Drosophila melanogaster: one gene and its partner. The protein of the gene in region 1 interacts with the protein of each later gene in a pairwise test. Each region holds a gene or a part of one and is shown in the gene's direction. Other genes may lie near its edges. The genes, in order: Sf3a2 and dar1.

Region 1 (8,078 bases):
AAGTCCACCAATGGTGTACTCAATGATGTTACACTGCTTTGCATTTTTACTGCGTTCGGGCTAATCCTCAGTACATTTGTACTGTCGCTGCTTATATCCAAAGTAGCATGCAATATATTCATATCGTCCATTTTAACAATCTTTCCGATGGGTAGCTCCTCCTCCTCGGGTTGCGTAACCGATGAACTAGCAAACGAACATCCTCCAAATCCAAATAGAGCACTCAATCTTTGCTCTTCCGGTGAAAGATCCATAAAGCTGCTTTCATCGAGCGGATTTTCAGCGGTCAATTGAGCTATGAAATCTACAGCGGATTGGATTTTATGCTCTGGTGATGTGGCCGCAGAAGAACTCGATTGTTCTTGACTCACTGCTGATGTGTCCGCTTGAGAATGCATATCACCTATTTCTGTGTTCGGTTCCCTATTCAATTTGGATATTAAAGGAACAGATTGAACCAAGTCGGCGTTCATATCTTTAGGTATGTTTTCTGGTTCAGGCAAATCAACCAGGTTCGATTCTGTGGTAACCTCAGCAGTTAAATGCCCTCTTTCCGAAGTTATAGGAATATATACAGGAGTACTTGATCCAAGTGCATTCACCTCTGGATAATTGATTGGTTCATTAAAGGACTTAAGAGGGCTTGACTCGGTAGTCGGATCAGGAGTTGAGGGAATATATACAGGAAAATCAATTGGGTTAGCAACTGCCATAACTCCTTCCGTTTCTAAATTGGAAACTAATTCTAGTTCCACGGAATTAGAAGTGGCCTGATTTGGTTCAGACGAATAACGATTTCCAGGTGTTGTAGGCACTGATGTGGGAAAGTCTATTGCCTTGTCTTCAGTAGACTCATTCGATTCAATAATTGTTTGTTTTGTTGATTCTACAGGTAATGGATTTGAACGAATACTTGAGCCAGCTGAAAAGTCTGTTGCTTTATTTGGCTTTGGATTATACAAAGGAGCAATATTTCCTTTCAGAGTTGGTGATGAAAAGGGCGACGTTCGTTTTGGTTGAAGTATTGTGTTAATAGTGAAATGAGTATCCATTGTGGAAATAACATCCTTTGAATTAAGTGTTTTCATAGCTTGAGGTTGTTTCACCTGATCCGCCTGATTACGAATCTCTTTGGCCATCTCGGCCAGTTTTTCCCGTGAAACCTTAAACTTATTGGCGTTCATAATAACCTTGCCCTTGATCACTTTAGATTGGATATTTGGTGTTGCAGCGCTATCCGGAGAATTTGTAGCTTCCACCGGAGCATTGGGCAGCCGAAGCCCACTCAAATCGATTTTCTCGTTGGGTGCCAACACCTTATGCTCCAGCACAATTAGCGGCGGTGTTGGACTCCTATGAAGTTGTGTGGGAACCGTAGGAGCTGCTCGAGCTATAGGAACCTCTGGAGGTGGATATGGTTGGCTAAAAACATTCGTAGTTTGCTGTACTGGAATCCTCTGTGGACTTGGGGAAACTTGATGCACTGTCCCGTGCGGGTTCACTAAGGGACTGTCACTCGATACGCACATGGCTCGATGTTTGGGCAGCTGATTTACCAAATTGAGCAAAAGTGGCGGCTGCTTTTGTCGGACAGTCAAGTCCGCCTTGGCAATGGACATGGAAGAGGCTGCCGGAGCTGGGGAAATCCCGCCACTGCGAGGAGCTGTTTCGTGGCAAACAGGTGGTGGCATCTTAGGCGCTGCTTTGGAAGTTGTGGGCTTCTGCTGAGCCTGCGTGTTCGTGATTAAGCTCTTGTTTAGTATTCTGTTCTTTAATAGCGCCTTCACTTGTTTGGAACGGTCACCATCCGTTGGATTTGGAGTCGGCTGGATGGGCACTATCTTCTCGATGTGTTCCGAGATCATAAAACGCTTTACTAGAGGCTGAGGTGCTAAAAATTATAAAAGTGAAACATAATTAATAAAGGAAACTATAAGCAGAAGAACTTAGGAGCAAAGTTAAAGGAGCACAGTTTTAAAGCGAAATAAGCCATCTTATACATAAAAGATGCAATTCATTGTTAAAGCAAACATTAAATAAAACCATATAGAGCATGTATTAGCAAAAACAATCGCACACACAAACGGCAGTTTGACCGCAATGGGATTTGAACCCGGGCCAAAAAGGGAATTATGTTGCCTCGCATCGACGCTTCGTCCCTAACCTCATTTTGAGCGCGCACTTGACGATTGAACCACCGAAAGAGTACGAATTGTTGTGGCACGAGTGGGTCTTGAATCTAGTTTGCCAGACGAGTAGTCAAAAAAAATATTTACCCTTTCAAGGGTATCATATTTATGAATTAAGCTCATTATCCCTATTTTACAATTAAGTGTAAAATTTTATTTGCTTTTGACCAATTAAATTTTCATAATTTATGGCTTTACGTAGTTAGTACTCTATCACACAACAACAAAAATTAAATGATTATTGATTAAACTCATTATTCAATTGTTAAAATTTAAAAAAAAGTTTTCGTTAAAAACTTTTTGTGTTACATTTAACAACAACGACAAAAATATTGAAGTGTTCTAGTATTAGCAGTATATTTCATCTCATTTCAAAGAAAAGTACCAACTAATCTAAATGTCCCGAATTAATTTTTTTTTGGTTTTTTAAATTTATTTATTAAAAGAATATTAAAATATACATAAAATATCCTTGTAAAACATGTGATTCTCTTGGCTTATTAAAATATCGATCGTTTTAAATAATTAAATACCAAATTATGTTATTCAATATAAATTTTATTGGCAGTATGTTTTGGAAATAATAACGTCCTGTTTGACAAGTGAACATATTGTAGATGTTCAGATACAGATACAGATGGTTAGCCATCCTAATATTTCTAACCTATAGACCTGAATTTTTAACAAAAATAGACTTTTTTAAACTAAAAAAAATTATTTTAGGTTGCCATTCGAAATACGTAAAAAATAAAATATATCGAGATACACGAAAAGAAAGTGAAGGCGCCGCACTCACTGCGAGACGAACTCAGAACAATTAATACAAAAACTAACTCTTTGACAATCTGTCGGCGTCTCAATCAGTTGCACCATCGTTTTGGTTTTCGGTACTGTGCCCAAAACTCGTAGAAGCATTTAGACGATTTTCGTATCACTTGGTACAAAACCCCTGGGTTTGTAACGGTTTTTTGGGCGATGCACAGCTTAAAGCAAATATATATATATACAAGTATGCATTACCAGGCTGACGCAATTGTTGTTGTGGCGACTGCAATTTGCTCTCTGGCGCAGTTGGCGTCGACTGCGCTGCGGCAGAGGTGGAAAGACTGGTGGACGATGGGGCGTCCACCCTCTTGGCATCCAGCTTCTGCTTCCTAAGCACCTCGGCCAGCTGCCTATCGAGTCCAGCCTCCTTGAGCTTGTTGAAATCCAGCTGAATCTTCTTAATTATTCGCTTGGGCGGAGCTGCAGCAGTTTTGGTGGCGTGTGGAGGAGGGGCGCTGGTGGGATTACCGGGCTTCGGTTGATTAGAAGTGGTGGTCATTGGCGCCGGTGGACCCATGATGACCTGTTTGCTGGAGTTGTCCATTTCGCGGTTACTTTAAAAATCGCATAAGACACTGGCACTGTTTATTCCACGAAAATGACGACAGAAATCGAAATTCTTAAACACTCGTTGCTTCGATTTTTCTCAAGTCCGACGTAATCCACGCAGTGACATTTAAATAAAACACGCTTTTCGAGGCCTAGTACTTGTCACCAACACTAGTTTACTTTAGTTTAGATCGCTGTCTAGACATTTTTCACTTTTTAAATTCTAAAAAAGATCAAGCATGTGCAGCTCGAATTAATAGTGTGACCGCTTTGAAAAAGTAAAATATTCTCAAAGCTTCGGAACGAAAATATACCAAAATATTATATGTAATTCTTTAAAAAAACATCGCAAAAGGAATATATAAGTTATTTTATGTATATTACAGTTTGCAAAAATTTGACTATCATTAAGAATTTTAATGGATTTATGAAACATTCTATTATTTATTTAATACTTTAATCCTGCACACGAACTATCGATTGACTCTGATAAACTACCACCCCTAACCGAATTGGCGTTTCTTGACAACCCTGTTCTGTACAACAAATTTTCATGAAATTTTACCAACGCAAAACGTTTTTCCTTCGTGCGGTTGAAAACTAAAATAAAGTTTACAAAATGGACTTCCAAAACCGCGCCGGCGGCAAGACCGGCAGCGGAGGCGTAGCCTCCTGGTCGGAGACGAACCGCGACCGCAAGGAGCGACTGCGTCAACTGGCCCTGGAGACAATCGATCTGAACAAGGATCCGTACTTCATGAAGAACCATCTGGGCTCCTACGAGTGCAAACTCTGCCTGACGCTGCACAACAACGAGGGCAGCTATTTGGCCCACACGCAGGGCAAGAAGCATCAGGATAATCTGGCAAGAAGAGCCGCCAAGGAGGCAAAGGAGGCACCCTCTTCGCTGCTGGCGCCCGAGAAGCCCCGCGTGGAACCGAAGAAGTTCGTCAAGATTGGACGACCCGGCTACCGGGTGACCAAGCAGCGTGAACTCAGCAACGGCCAGCAGTCGTTGCTCTTTCAGGTGGACTACCCGGAAATCACGGAGTCCATTGTTCCGCGTCACCGCTTCATGTCCGCCTACGAGCAAAAGATCGAGCCGCCAGACCGCAAGTGGCAGTACCTTCTCTTTGCCGCCGAGCCGTACGAGACCATAGGGTTCAAGGTGCCGTCCCGCGAAGTGGAGAAGAGTGAGGGCAAGTTCTGGACGCACTGGAACCGTGACACCAAGCAGTTCTTCCTTCAGTTCGCCTTCAAGTTCGAACCTAAGATCCTGCCGCCACCGCCGCCGAATCTACATAGGGCACTAGGCCCCCCAGGCGGATTCCCCATGCCGGGACCGCCACGTCCTGCTATGCATCCCATGTTCAATGGCGTTCATCCACCGCCACCCATGCTTTCAAACAACTAATTCATCGACAATGTTTACGGGATTTCTCCAAACGCAAGCCGATTACCACAGAAATATTCAAATAATAAACAATTTTCTACTTAATACAACTCGAGGGTTTTTGTATTTGTGTTTCTAGCTTAATAAATTGAAAAAATATTGCTGGTTTTCTTTGTAGCTGTACGACTTACAAATCGATCGCGTTTAAGGTAATTATCTTGGATTCTATAATTTCTGCTTAAATTAGGTAATGTACAACTTATTAATACACACTTGGCTGGCCATCTCCGTTCGTCAATTACTTTTAGATCTTTTCGCGCTTCTTGAAATTCCTTTTCGAAGCGCAGCGGGTGATTATATTAGAAACGTGTGGCTTATGCTCGAAGATCTTCATTAACTGATTCTGTGCCTCGTTGATGCCATCGGTAATAATCTTGCTGCGTTGAATGTTTCCCTGCAAAGTAAATTGGTTTTATGTTGAGATTCAAGCATAATGGATATAAGTATAAGAGCGCACCTTTAGCAGTTCAGTGACTCGCTCAATTTCGCTGTGCTTCTCCTTGTCCTTTTCGAGATCCTGCAGCATGGTCTCCAGCCTGCCCAGACTAAAGACTTCCGATTCATTCTGTAAGAAATCAGTTCAGTCAAAGTAGCCTACCAATACTTTCGTGCCCATTGCTTACCAAGTCCTCCATTTGCGAGCGTAAATGATAAATTTTCCATCCATTGATTTTGCCCTGCACATTTGGCTGATTGGCCAGATCAATGACTGTGGCCCGCCGCTCCTCCCTTGGCTTAACATCAGTGTACCGATGAAAATGATTGTTGGCCAACTTATGTGTGGGCTTATACGTCTGTAGATCAACGGAATCATTTGTTAACTACCACAAAATGAACTGAACCTTCAACTTACATTGAGCAAAGCACAATTGCGCGGACGACGAATCACAAAGTCGACGGGATTTGCGTTCTCCTTGTTGCCCGCCACAGCAGGTGTACTGTTCCGGTGGTTGGCATCGCCTGGCGCACTGTTGGGAGCAACACCCGGGGTCGCTGCTGTCACCAGTAGTCCTCCATTGTTGTGCTTCTGCATGTACGAAGCGCCAGCCGGCGGCGTTGGCTCCGAACTTGGAGGTGGCAGCGATAAGGATGCTTGACTCTGCGTAGAGTGCTGGCTGTCATTGCTGGCAAATACATTATCAGATTATCAACATGCATCATTTGATACAACCACTCAAATAACTCACGTCGATCGTCGCGGCTTTTTCCTAGAGGAGCAGTCATAACTGGAGCTGGAGCTATTACCAGTACCATTCATACGCGTTCCTTGTTGCATCTGCGTCGATCCCACCAAATGAGGCACCTGCTGAGGCTGCTGTTGCTGCGGCGTTGGTGCTTGCACATCCACAAAGGCACTGCTACCACTGCGGGCTCCCAGTGAGGAGTGACCAAGGTTCTGCTGAATCGATTGGTGTGATGAGTACATCTTTTGAAGAACAAATATTAAAGCCATACTTAAGCATATATTGATTGTTGTGTACACACCTCATTAATGGGATTAAAATGCGTGGAATTATCGCGCCCACCAGCGCCTCCCGTGGCTGGCTGATCGCCAATCCTGTCCTGTAATTGCTGATCCACACCAGGTGAGGAATTCGCCGACACTGTAGTTGAGCCGTCCGACGAAGCCGGCGAGTCCGCCCTCGAATTTCTCGTTGAGTTCACGGGGCCAACTGTGGCAGGCACACTAGCGGCGCTACTTGCTACACCATGGGTGACTCGCTCCCGTTCCTTCTTGGCCAGCGCCTCTACGGTCAGCCCAGAGCCAACTGATTGAGGCACTGTCACGGACACCGGCTGAATGTTGAACGTGGTGCCCGGAGCCGGTGGCATGTTTTGTCCACTGTTATTGCTAGCCATTGAAAGCAAAGTGGGTCCTAGATTTTTAGCCGCCCGTATTGGCGAACCTTCCGCATCCCGCTTGCGCATAAAGCTGGACACCAGTGCTCCACTTGCAGTTGCTTGTTGCGGATTGCCCGCTCCCGTGGTCACCTTAACGGACGTATGCAGCGGAATAACCATGTGCTGCGGCGGCGCACTATTTGGTCCTGCTGGTATTATCAATTGCTGGTGGCCAATGGTTCGGGTGGCTGTTCCACCAGCCCCCGACGGCAACACCGTAAAAGTAGCCTGCGATCCGCCGCCACCTGATCCCGCTCCGGCAGTCGCGTGACTTGCAAAGGGTAACGAAGATACCGACAAGCTGCCACCGGCGCTGCTAACCAATTGTGCCTGCGCCTGGGTGCTCTGCGTCACTGTTGTCGTAGTCAATGATAGAACGCCTGTGGAGGCGGAGGCTGGCATAGATTCGTAGTAGATTGTGGCAGCACTTCCCTTCTCATCGATCTGTATAACGATTTAGTTTTAATAGTTAATTGAAGCATCATATATGTAGATAGTTGAAACCTACCTTCATCAACTGGCTCTGTGAAGCAACTACAGGATTCCAGGTGCGTTGAAAGCCCGTCACTGTTGCCCCGCTTGTGCTGGAACCATCTGCTCCAGGGGCAGAAGAAGCTGGTGCCATCATCATCTTGCCCAAAGTGATGCCGCTTGCGTTCTTGATGGGCGTCAGAGTTCCCGTGAGGATATTACCGCCTGGTCCCACTCCCGCTCCCCTGCCACTGATGGTAAGTGGCAGGACAGTGGCTCCACCGGCCGCCGATGTGGCACCCGTCACCGAGCTTGAATTGACCACACTGGCAGAGACATTCGGCACTGGCACCGCCTGGATGCTGGCCACGCCCTGCGGCCCCATTGTTTGTCCTCCACTTCCTCCGCCAGCTGACAGTTTTCCGATGGGATTAAGCTGTGTAATAGTTAGCGATGGCTGAACCTTAGCGGTCATGGTGACAGGTGGACGAATGCCTGTCGATTGATGGTTTCAAAGATATATTATTATTATTTCATTTAATTGTGGTAGGGTTTATTCCTATCATATTCCACTTACAAAAGAACAAGTCACGAAATAATTCTTAAATTTTCAAACACTATTTTATTTTTGTTCTTATTGTATAGTTCTCAGCTCAGTTCAATCCATAAAAAAGTAAACTCTATATAGG
Region 2 (9,839 bases), 9.2 Mb from region 1:
GAGATTTCACAATCCGAAAGCCAAAAACCGAGGGACTTGTTAGCCCAATTAATAATTATTATTGGCCGGAGTTAGAGAAGATGATGAAGTCTTTGGTGTGGGAGGCCTTGGCTTTCTCTGCGCCTGCCCACAGCCGAGATTTAATTAATTGCCGCGTAAAATTAATTTCATTTCAATTGTGCAGTCGCATCATTAGCAGTTCGCACCCCCTCCCGAAAATAGTTGGGACCCCGAAACCTGCTGAGTAAGCAATGATATCGTTTGTAAGTTTTGTAAGTTACCCCCATACCATCGACATCTCCGATCCCCAGCTACTCTCAAGGGCCATATCGTTTCTACTTCGCTTCGAGTGGGCTTGAAAGGTGATTAACGCGATCATAGAAATGATGTCGGAGGAGTACCGCACTGGGGGCTCATCTTTCCAACACCTGAAGTGGTACAGGGAAACGGGAATTTAATGAAGCACTCCACTGGGAGAAAATATCACCCGAAATGCTAATCACTTAATTCAATTTAACATCAGCTTATTGAAATGAAAGTCCTTCAGAACTTTTGTGACTAAAGGCTGTATAAGCAAATATGAAGTAGTATATTAACAGATAAAACACTACGACAATTGAAAGCGAGCGAACCAATAGGTAATATACTCTCCAAATAATGGACGTTATTACTAACAATAACAATAAAAATGCTTCGAGACCTATAATGTCAATTTTATTAGGCAGCAAAGGATGAATCTTTAAGATAGTACGGGGAGGTTATTAGGATATAAACGATAAAAGAGAATAAAATTTGTGACAAGCATTGTTCATTTGTTTATTTTCGATAATATAATAATATAATGAATCTTTTTCTTTACAGGTTTAAAATGATTTCCGATTGATATAGTTTTTTCTCGCTGTGTCGTAGATCGTTAGATGCTTAGATCATGACTCTTTCTTTCTGCGCTTGCGCACGCGCTAAATGTCAAAAAAGTGCCCATGAAGCTCGGGAAGAATCAGCCGCCTGCTGTTCGCCGCCGCAGCTCCGCTTTCCGCCATGCCACGCCCCCCGCCCTCACCTGAAAGTGACACGCCCTCAGGCGGGCCGCCCACTTGGAACATGTCGAATCATTCATTCAACGCAACGAAATGTGGGCTGCGAGGTGTTGAAAGGCGAGAGGCGAAAACCGAAATACAAAATCCGAAATCTAAAAGGCATTTTGTGTGCATTTGTAATTTGTGGAGCTGCACACAGCATTGCGCTGTCATTATTTTCTGTAACATTTAGCAAAATCATTAATAATTGTTGCCGCCGCTGCAGCGACACAGATACGCACTTAAAAATTGTCAGACAACAGTGACTATGCCTTGGTGTTAACTTGATTAGCATTCGTATAAATTCGCATTCGCAGTTGCATCTTGGCCGCATTTGCATAGAATGCACATTTCGGGGACCCAATTATTCGGGGTAACTAAAAGTCTTCTGATCTTGATCGCCTGAGCTGTTAGATGGAATTCGAGGTGGCCCCAATTCCAATTCCCCTGGCTGAGATTTCAATTACCCTCGCATATTATGCAAACAAATAAATTCGAGCGATAAGGTTAAGCCGAAGAAATTATGAAAATATTTCCCAGAAAATGCGCAGACAAAACAAATTGCCGCGTAATCTCTGGGACCCTTGCTCTTGGAAGAAATAACAACTCCAGGTTGACAATGCACGGCCCGAATAAATCGAAATCATTTGGGAACTTGTCCTTCTTTATCGGCAAGTGCCGCCAAGTGGAATCAATCAAGCGGAGAACCATTTCCTTGGAGGCTCTCAGATCGTGTTTTTCATATTATTTCGATTCCGATTTCGAAGCGTGACAATATTTTGGCCACAATTCAAACGAACTGATCTCGAGGGTCTTCGGTGGGCAATTAATCATGTCGAGCTGGCCGATAAGTTCTGCTCGGTCGAGTGCAGTGAATTTCTGGGGGGAGAGTCCTCGAATCTCCAGTCTCATAACAGGTAGTACCCATCGACATCGATCTTTGTGTGAGGTAAGAGCTGAAACAGGGGCTTCCATAAATCCCGCAGATATCGCTGGCGGGAAAATCAATTACTCTACAAGGATGTGCGCCTCCAATTTGAATATTTATGGTTAACTGATCGGATCTCGACATAAAAGCGCCAAAATTGATACATTACAGGCTTTTTTTTTACGGGGATTTCGGTAAAAACGTGAGTAAAGAGGATATAAATATGTCATTTATAAAGAGAAGTAAATAGAGTTTAAAATGATTACAGAAGGATCTAAGGATGGTATATACTCATAGACAAGTCATTATTAAACAAAATTTAGTTTTTTGTGCATAAAAATCGAAAAAATTGTCCAAATTTGGAAAGTTATACCTCGTTGTGCTCAGATCTTTATCCTTTACAAACACAAAACAACTGCCATTAAAATGTGTAAAAAAAATTTTTTTGACCATTTTCGAAAATTTTGATGATGGTACCCCTTACAAAAAAGTCGAAAAATGGGTAAATTTTTTTTTTTTCAAAAACTCTTAAAAAGTGATTTGGGTTTTCTTCTTAGGTTGTCGGGTGTAAAAAACAGTGCTTCTTATAGCGATGTGTCTTATTTTGACTTAGTTATAACATAATAACTGAAAAACACGCATTTTCGTTGTACCCTTCAATTAATAATTTAATTTACAGTGCCATAGATATTCTAAAGCCCCTTAATCATAATATGCATATTTAAATCCCCAGAGCGCGCATATCTTCGTACTCAACCGCTTCATTCTAGGCCAAAAGCGTTATAAATTGGCTGGCATTTGTCAACCGGCGAACGGAGTCAAGTACGGGCTTGGAAATGTGTCTTTGGCATATCTCACGGATGCCAAACGTAAGACAAGCAGCTCGAGAGCAAACAAAAGCGCGAAGACAAACAAATTCGAATGTATCTGAGTATCTCGGCTTGTATCTGCAGACGTCTGCGGTGGCATTAATGGCAAATTTGCACGAAGTCAATAGCGAAAGCCGGGGAATACTACAGTCAATTATCGGTGGCGTCGAATATGGACGAATGTATCTGCGAGTGTAGATACTTTCGTATCTGACCATGTATGTTGATGTTTTTGTTTTTCCACCTGCGTGTAGCGTTGTTGTTGTTTTTTCCACTTACTGCCACCGTGTACGCAAAAGTGTCTCGCTCTCTCTTTCTAACCGCATGCCCCGTCCCGCTCACTCGTTGTATCTTGTATCTCGTGTTTCTCGCTCTTTTTGTCGACCGCCGATTGGCTGACTTTTGAGTCTGCGCCGCTATCCGGAGAGGCCACACCTCTAAAAACCCCCTTAGAAAACCACGTTTGCGTGTTATTTCAGATACTTTTGGCCCCCCTGCACCAACCATTTTACCCCCCCGCGCGCGGAAAACATAAACTTGTGGCTCCCTAATGGCCAAAAATAAGGAAACCAGGGGGATGAGTCGAAATGAAAATGGCTTTTATGTGTGGCGTGCGTTGGGGTAATTTTATGATTCAGGGAATTACACAGGGAAATGACAGTCCTCGTTCTTCTTTTGCTTTCCACCTGGAATATGTAGATACAGATACCTTTTAATTGTCGCTCTATTGATTTCCCCCAAAGAAAGCACATAAGCTGACTTAATTTATGCTTTAATTCTATTTAATTATGTTTTTTTTTTACCATCTAAAACTGCATGAGGTCTATGAAAGATTCGCGTGTTAGCTGGACAGTTTTTATTTTGTTTAGGCTCTATCTAAAATGTGTCAAACTTAATGAACGGTGTAGTAAAGCGGTTTTAATGGGGGAGGTTCTGTTCGGGGATTATGCTTTGTATGTTTTTGATTTATTACTCCTTAAAGGCTACCAATTTTATACCTTAAGTTATAAAACTTATAAAAAAAGAACGAGGTCCTTAAAAAACACTCTGTCGTATAAAAGTTCTTTACGGAAATCAATTAAATCAAATCGAAGCCATATATGTAGATTTTATTTATATAAACATTTAATTGTAAAGTTTTGTAAATTTAAATGATATTCTAATTGATCGGATTATAATAAAATTATTACTCTAAAATTAATAATTTTTATTTATTTGTTACTGAATACTCCATAAGGGACTTATAAACTTTAATTTCTAACCTCCTTGCCCTATTTCGAGATCTTTTCTGAAGCGTGGTTACTTACTTTTTCACCCATTACCACCTCTACCGCAGGTCAAATCTAAAATGGCGAATCCCAGGCGGTTCATTCAATTAAAATCGATCGCAGCTCTTATACTCCAGTGTCTCCAATAAGATCAGCTGGCTGGAACACACCTGAGAGTCGGATATAAGAGCGACAGATCACCTGGGCCGAAAGTGGCGGAGAGCGGACCAGGTGAGCGGAACACCTGGTGAGCAGAGTATCCGACAGATACAGATACGAAAGGTGAGCGAGAGCGGCACAGAGCGGGCAGTGGAGGGTTAAGCGGCGGGGGTTAAGCGGCAGCTAGCTGACTGGCTTTCTGACTTTCGAGGCTCGTCTGCGCGAAACCCGCGCTCGTCCAATCAGTACGAACTCGGTTCCCGCCAGCGCAGTAACAACTTCGCCGACGAGCGCGTGAATCGCCTAAATATCCACTCAAGCAACACAGAAAATAAGTTATAAATTGAAACCCGCAAGTGCCTTACCATTATCTGTAGAATATTGCAACGAATTTACTGCCCATATATACAGCATATCGAGAGGAACAAGAGATACAGATACAAATAAGATACAAGCCGAAGCTCATCATCGAATGCGGAAGTGAGCGAAAGCCGCCGGCTTTTATTAATTTTGTGCAATTAACGCAAAGGATACAAAAAATCAGTGTGCAAACAAAGGGAAACAAAAGAGTGAGAGAAAGTGATCGAGTGCCTTCATTTGCATATCCTTGCAAATTAAATTAATTTAACAACAAATAACAAAAAGCAATTGAATAATAAGAAAACGTGCCGCAATGTCTGTTGCTCGCAGTGCCATGTCAAGCTGAAGTATTCAATAATAATCCCGAAATTCGATTCCGAATACGATTTTGAATTCGCATCCGAAATTGATTAATCACTGTGCCTTGAACTGATCGTGACTCGTGAGTCAGAGCAGCGCCATTTAATTGTCCGCAAACACAAAAGTACGGAGCCCAGTTGCAAATTGTCGGGTTAAATATTGGTAGAATATCGGTAGAATCGGTGGCATCCCCTCCCCCGCCAGGCATTCCACCTGGCCAACAGTCGAGTGAAGGAGCTTCATGCGAAAAACGCCGCTTAAATGCATACGGATATCATAATTGGTGATCAGTTTGCCGCCAACAATAACTACTGGGTGATGCAGGTGAGTTCGGTTACTAGAATATTTAATTAAAGGCTACTTAAGACATTCTGGAAATTCCAGCGAAAAGATCTAGAAAACTTGATCTTTTGTAATAAATAAAATCCAAATAGCAGATAGATATTTTCTATCAAATAAAAGGCAGTGTCGAAATTTCAAATATCAATCACTTAAATAAAATTCCCTAGCTTGATCAACATTCAAATGGAAATATATCCAACTATTATAGAAAGAATATGTGTGTCTTTAAACAAGGATGAACACATCACAAAGCGTTTAAATATCGTAATCATTAGCCAATTAATTTGCAATCACAGGTTCCTTGTCAAACCCAATTCAAATGAAACAAAAAAAACTTTACGTACCAAAGTGCGCTAATTAAGCCGCTTTTATTGCAAATTAATTTTAGCCAAATTTGACAACAATAAGCGAGCACACAACAAATACGAGAGCTTACAAATCACATGAAAAACACCTTAAGCCCAACAACTTCCGCTTATCAAAATGCAAATCTTGAACAGACCAGATTTTTGACGATTTTTGTACGAATTCGAGTACGAGTATAAATAAAACGCACGCGGCAATCACAAATTACAATAAAACCGAAAACAAATTAGCTCAATTATCGATTGAGATGAGGAGTTGGACTGCGTAATTTTTGAGTGTTCTCGAGTGTGTTTCGACAGAGATTAACACCTTGGATTTCCTCAGGTGTTCCTTCGGTTCCTTCGCCGTTTTTTCCCCATTTTTGTTTTTTTTTGTTTGTCAAATGCGACAATCGATTTGTAAATCTTGTTATCACCTGCAGGAACTCTCGGCTCTTAAAGCCGTTCTCAAATACACGGTCGGTTAACTCTTTTGAACTCATCCACACTTTTCACGCGTTCCGCAGGGAAACTGTGGCGATCACAGTCCATCCGATGCGATCCGATCCGCACTCCTCCTTTCGATATCCATGTTTGCAGCCTGTTTTTCTGTTTTCCCGGCTTGTTTGCCTCAATTGTTTGACTCGCGCTTACTTGCGAAGCTCTGGGTAAATATTTGCCCCCAACACTTTGCCAATGTGCCAAGTGTCCCCAACTGACTGACGAGATGGTTTCAACACGGTTCCTACCCGGGAATATATACATATAGCTATAGCCTGATCATCGACTGGGTGGCATTGATCGATGGTATTGGATAGTATGAGAACATAATTACAAACGGCAAGGGTACATACGTATGAGTAATATGTCTTTCCGAGGAACTGTTTATCCTGTTTATTGCTGAATGTCAATAAATACTTTAGAGTGAAACTGATCGCACAGATTGTGGTTATTAAAGTTATCGAGTATAGGTTAAGTTTTTAGGCCATACTCATTTACCATGAATTAATTTTTCAAAGTATACGTACTTTTTTATTACCAATAATCTTGAGCCTTGATTATCTTTCTTATAAATTTTATGATGTGTAGGCTATCTTCCTAAATTTTCCTATCATTCCCTGTCTTATTGCCTTATCTCAACATTTTACAACCGTTGGTCTACCAGCCTTACGCCCATTGATAAGTTCAGTTTCCCGCAGAAAGTCTAGCCTTGCTCAACAAAAGCTCTGTGTTAAGTGCCTCCAGCTGCCCTCCTCAGAACACTTCCTTCCCCCAGAGATAAGGATCGAACTCCGGGAACCTCAGCGAAACAGATATACATACATAGGTACAGACGAAGAAACCCGAGACATTGGCGATTCCGGGTAAAAAGGCATCGTAAAAGAGCTGGGTGTTCGACAAGTGTGTTGTGCTTGTTCCGCCTGTCACCATCAATAGCTGCACTAATTAGGCATGTGTTGTCAAATATTTACACACAGTCGCAAAAGTACAAAGCGCTGTTGGCCCCCTTTGGCCCCCTGGAAGCCCCATCCACTTCCTCCAGATAGTGTAAGCTTTTGGGTGAGGGGGTGGACTTCTTCCGTTTTCCACTGATTTAACAGATATGATGAGATATGGTAAGGTAATTCCCACGACTCACGGCGATTATGACGAAAAACTTTCGTATTTTATGGCTCTAAACGAAATTAGTTTACGATCGCTTACAGGGAATTAGCTGCACTGAGTATAGAAGTATCCAAGTATCCGAGTATCTGCGTATCGAATACATTCAGTGAATAATGGAAGTAATCCAGCACGTAGCCAGGCGGTTATAGCGCCGACTTTTGCGGCTCTGATTAATGACCCTGAACCATTGTGCTTCAATCGTAAATAATTAAATATAGATAAAAATCAGATAACTCTAAGTTTGAGCTTTTGAAAAAAAAAAGGGGGGGGGGGGGTGTTTAAACTAAACGGGCCGAAGAATTATGCAAATTATTTAAGACTAAACGAAACTTGCAGTCGCTCCAGTGATTTGTCAATAAAAGACATTTACAAATATACCAAATGAAACGTATATGAGTTTATAGCCTATCTGAATCAATAGGAAATATTTGCATTTGCGAATCGGAATCAGACAAAGGCGGCCGCCTTCAAAGAATCAAAATCGGTGCTGAAATTTAACAAGAATTACGGCAATTGCCTTGCCGTCTGCTCATCTGAGCCATAAAAAATCGTGGCAAATTAGATAGAAAACAGCCGAATAATGGCCCGATAAGATAATGATATCCCTAGTAGACTTTCCATTTCGAAATGAGTTCAAGATTGGATCGAGCCCCCGAACAAAACACCGATTGCCAATTACACACCGTCCAGACAATGGCAGTTAAATAATAACTGGAGTAAGCCATGAAAACAGTTGGCCAAAATCTCATTAAGGCCCAGTGGGAGATCGCCCATCAATCGATCGATTCCTATGCAAATCTCGCCAGTAATTTCTGTTTCCACCATAACAATGCCAAGTTTTTAGTGTCTAGTCTTTGCCATATTTTGATTTCGCCAATTCATGCAAATGAAAACGAAAACTAGCACACAAATGCGCCAAAAATGGCACAAAAAAGTCGGGAAAAAAATATCATTCATTTGCAGCCAGTTTTGATTGATTTGCCGCCTGGCCAAGTTGGAGGTCAATCGTGCCGCGAGAATCAATCACTCACAAGCCACTGGGTGCACATAGAATTTGCGGTTTTCTGGATAGCCTATTATTGAGAATTAAGGAATTATAGTTGAAAGAAGAACTGTATTATCCTTTAGCAGTATTAAGCCACCATCTTTAATTTCTTCGCATACCCCTTGTGCTGAGCTTTAAAAACCAATGTCTGAAATCATAATATCGACTATCCATCAATTTGGATTTTTTAAAAGCTTTTCAATAGAATCCTCACTATTGATTTAACCCAATCCAAGCTCTTGTTCCCTTCTTTCTTACCCAATGTTTATGGCACGTGAGTGAGCATTTATTGACCAAAGGCAACCCTTTTGACCGGCTAATTTCAACATTTTTTTTCGACTCAGAAAAAGTATCACCTTAAATCTTTGATAGATTGCCGGGCCTAAGGCCCAAAAAAAAAAGGAGAAACATGTTTGACTTCGGCGAATTATTGCGAAAACTAGTTTGCCCAAAAATAAGAAAAAAGGCTTTTATGCTCACAGAGGTGCTAAAACCCCCACAACATTGAAGCGCAATTCGTTTCAGGTTTGATGGGATCAAAAGCTCAGCGGATGACAGCGAATGAAATGAAATAAATTTCATTTAAAGCTCCGATGCCGCATTAAGATCAATTATTTGATTATGAAACAAAATCTGCGTGAAATCTTCGAATAGTTGACCCAAGCCGATGTCAAATGCCGGCGCTGTAAATTTCAATTTCGCATCGAATTCATTTCCACAACAAGGTGAGAAAAAAAAAACACATTTGATCGGGGTGCGATGATAAAGCCATCATCGGATGGTCTCCATCGCTCGATCAGCTCGATCGGTCGTAAGGCCCCAACAAAGGTTCAAACAAACCAGTCCGACACGAAATCAAATTGCAAATTTAAATTGAAATCGAAATCACAGCACATTTCGTAAGGCACTATTGTATATAATCCGTGGACCGATGGGCGATATCCCATCCCAGCCGCATATGCGTCTAAAAACACTTCAATTCACGTTATGTGCTTACTTAACTTTTATCACCCGGCCGAGATTTCTATGATCGATCGCTAATTGCCAGAGTACAGAAAGGTACTCGAAATGGCTATAAGTCAAGAAGAAGCGCCAGGTACGAGTGGACAGCATTGAGATCTCTTCTGGGCAATTGACCCACTAATAGGGCCTGTCAATAATCGCCTTTTGGCCATTGAACTTTCGACTCTGGCCCCTACTACAAATTTCCTGAATAACACAAATTAATTGCCCGCAAATCCTGTGTCCGACCGATCAGCGTTTATTCAACAGTTTCATTTCAAATATTTATTGATTCCACACAATCTACATGTTGCGCATGCCAGTTGAGTTCGGCCACCAATGGGTTAAGAGCCCCTCGACATGGCTGAACGCTTTTCCAGCTCTGATCGGAAATTGGTTTTGTAGGCCCTGGGTTTCAGGG

The links.
Region 2: the proteins of Sf3a2 (region 1) and dar1 interact in a two-hybrid assay, tested with the Drosophila melanogaster proteins (one large-scale study listed by BioGRID).

What each region holds. Positions count from the first base shown.
Region 1 is NT_037436.4:12,810,012-12,818,089, reverse strand, and holds Sf3a2 (splicing factor 3a subunit 2), read left to right. Parts: upstream 1-4,070; 5' UTR 4,071-4,182; coding exon 4,183-4,977; 3' UTR 4,978-5,062; downstream 5,063-8,078. Other genes in the region: CG42588 (uncharacterized protein), read right to left, coding at 1-1,891, 3,210-3,558; Sap130 (Sin3A-associated protein 130), read right to left, coding at 5,261-5,410, 5,474-5,581, 5,640-5,810, 5,870-6,140, 6,204-6,442, 6,502-7,362, 7,427-7,884.
Region 2 is NT_037436.4:3,621,801-3,631,639, forward strand, and holds the start of dar1 (dendritic arbor reduction 1), read left to right. Parts: upstream 1-4,551; 5' UTR 4,552-5,281; coding exon 5,282-5,344; intron 5,345-9,839. UniProt on the Drosophila melanogaster protein: Transcriptional regulator which promotes dendrite growth by suppressing, either directly or indirectly, the expression of the microtubule-severing protein spas.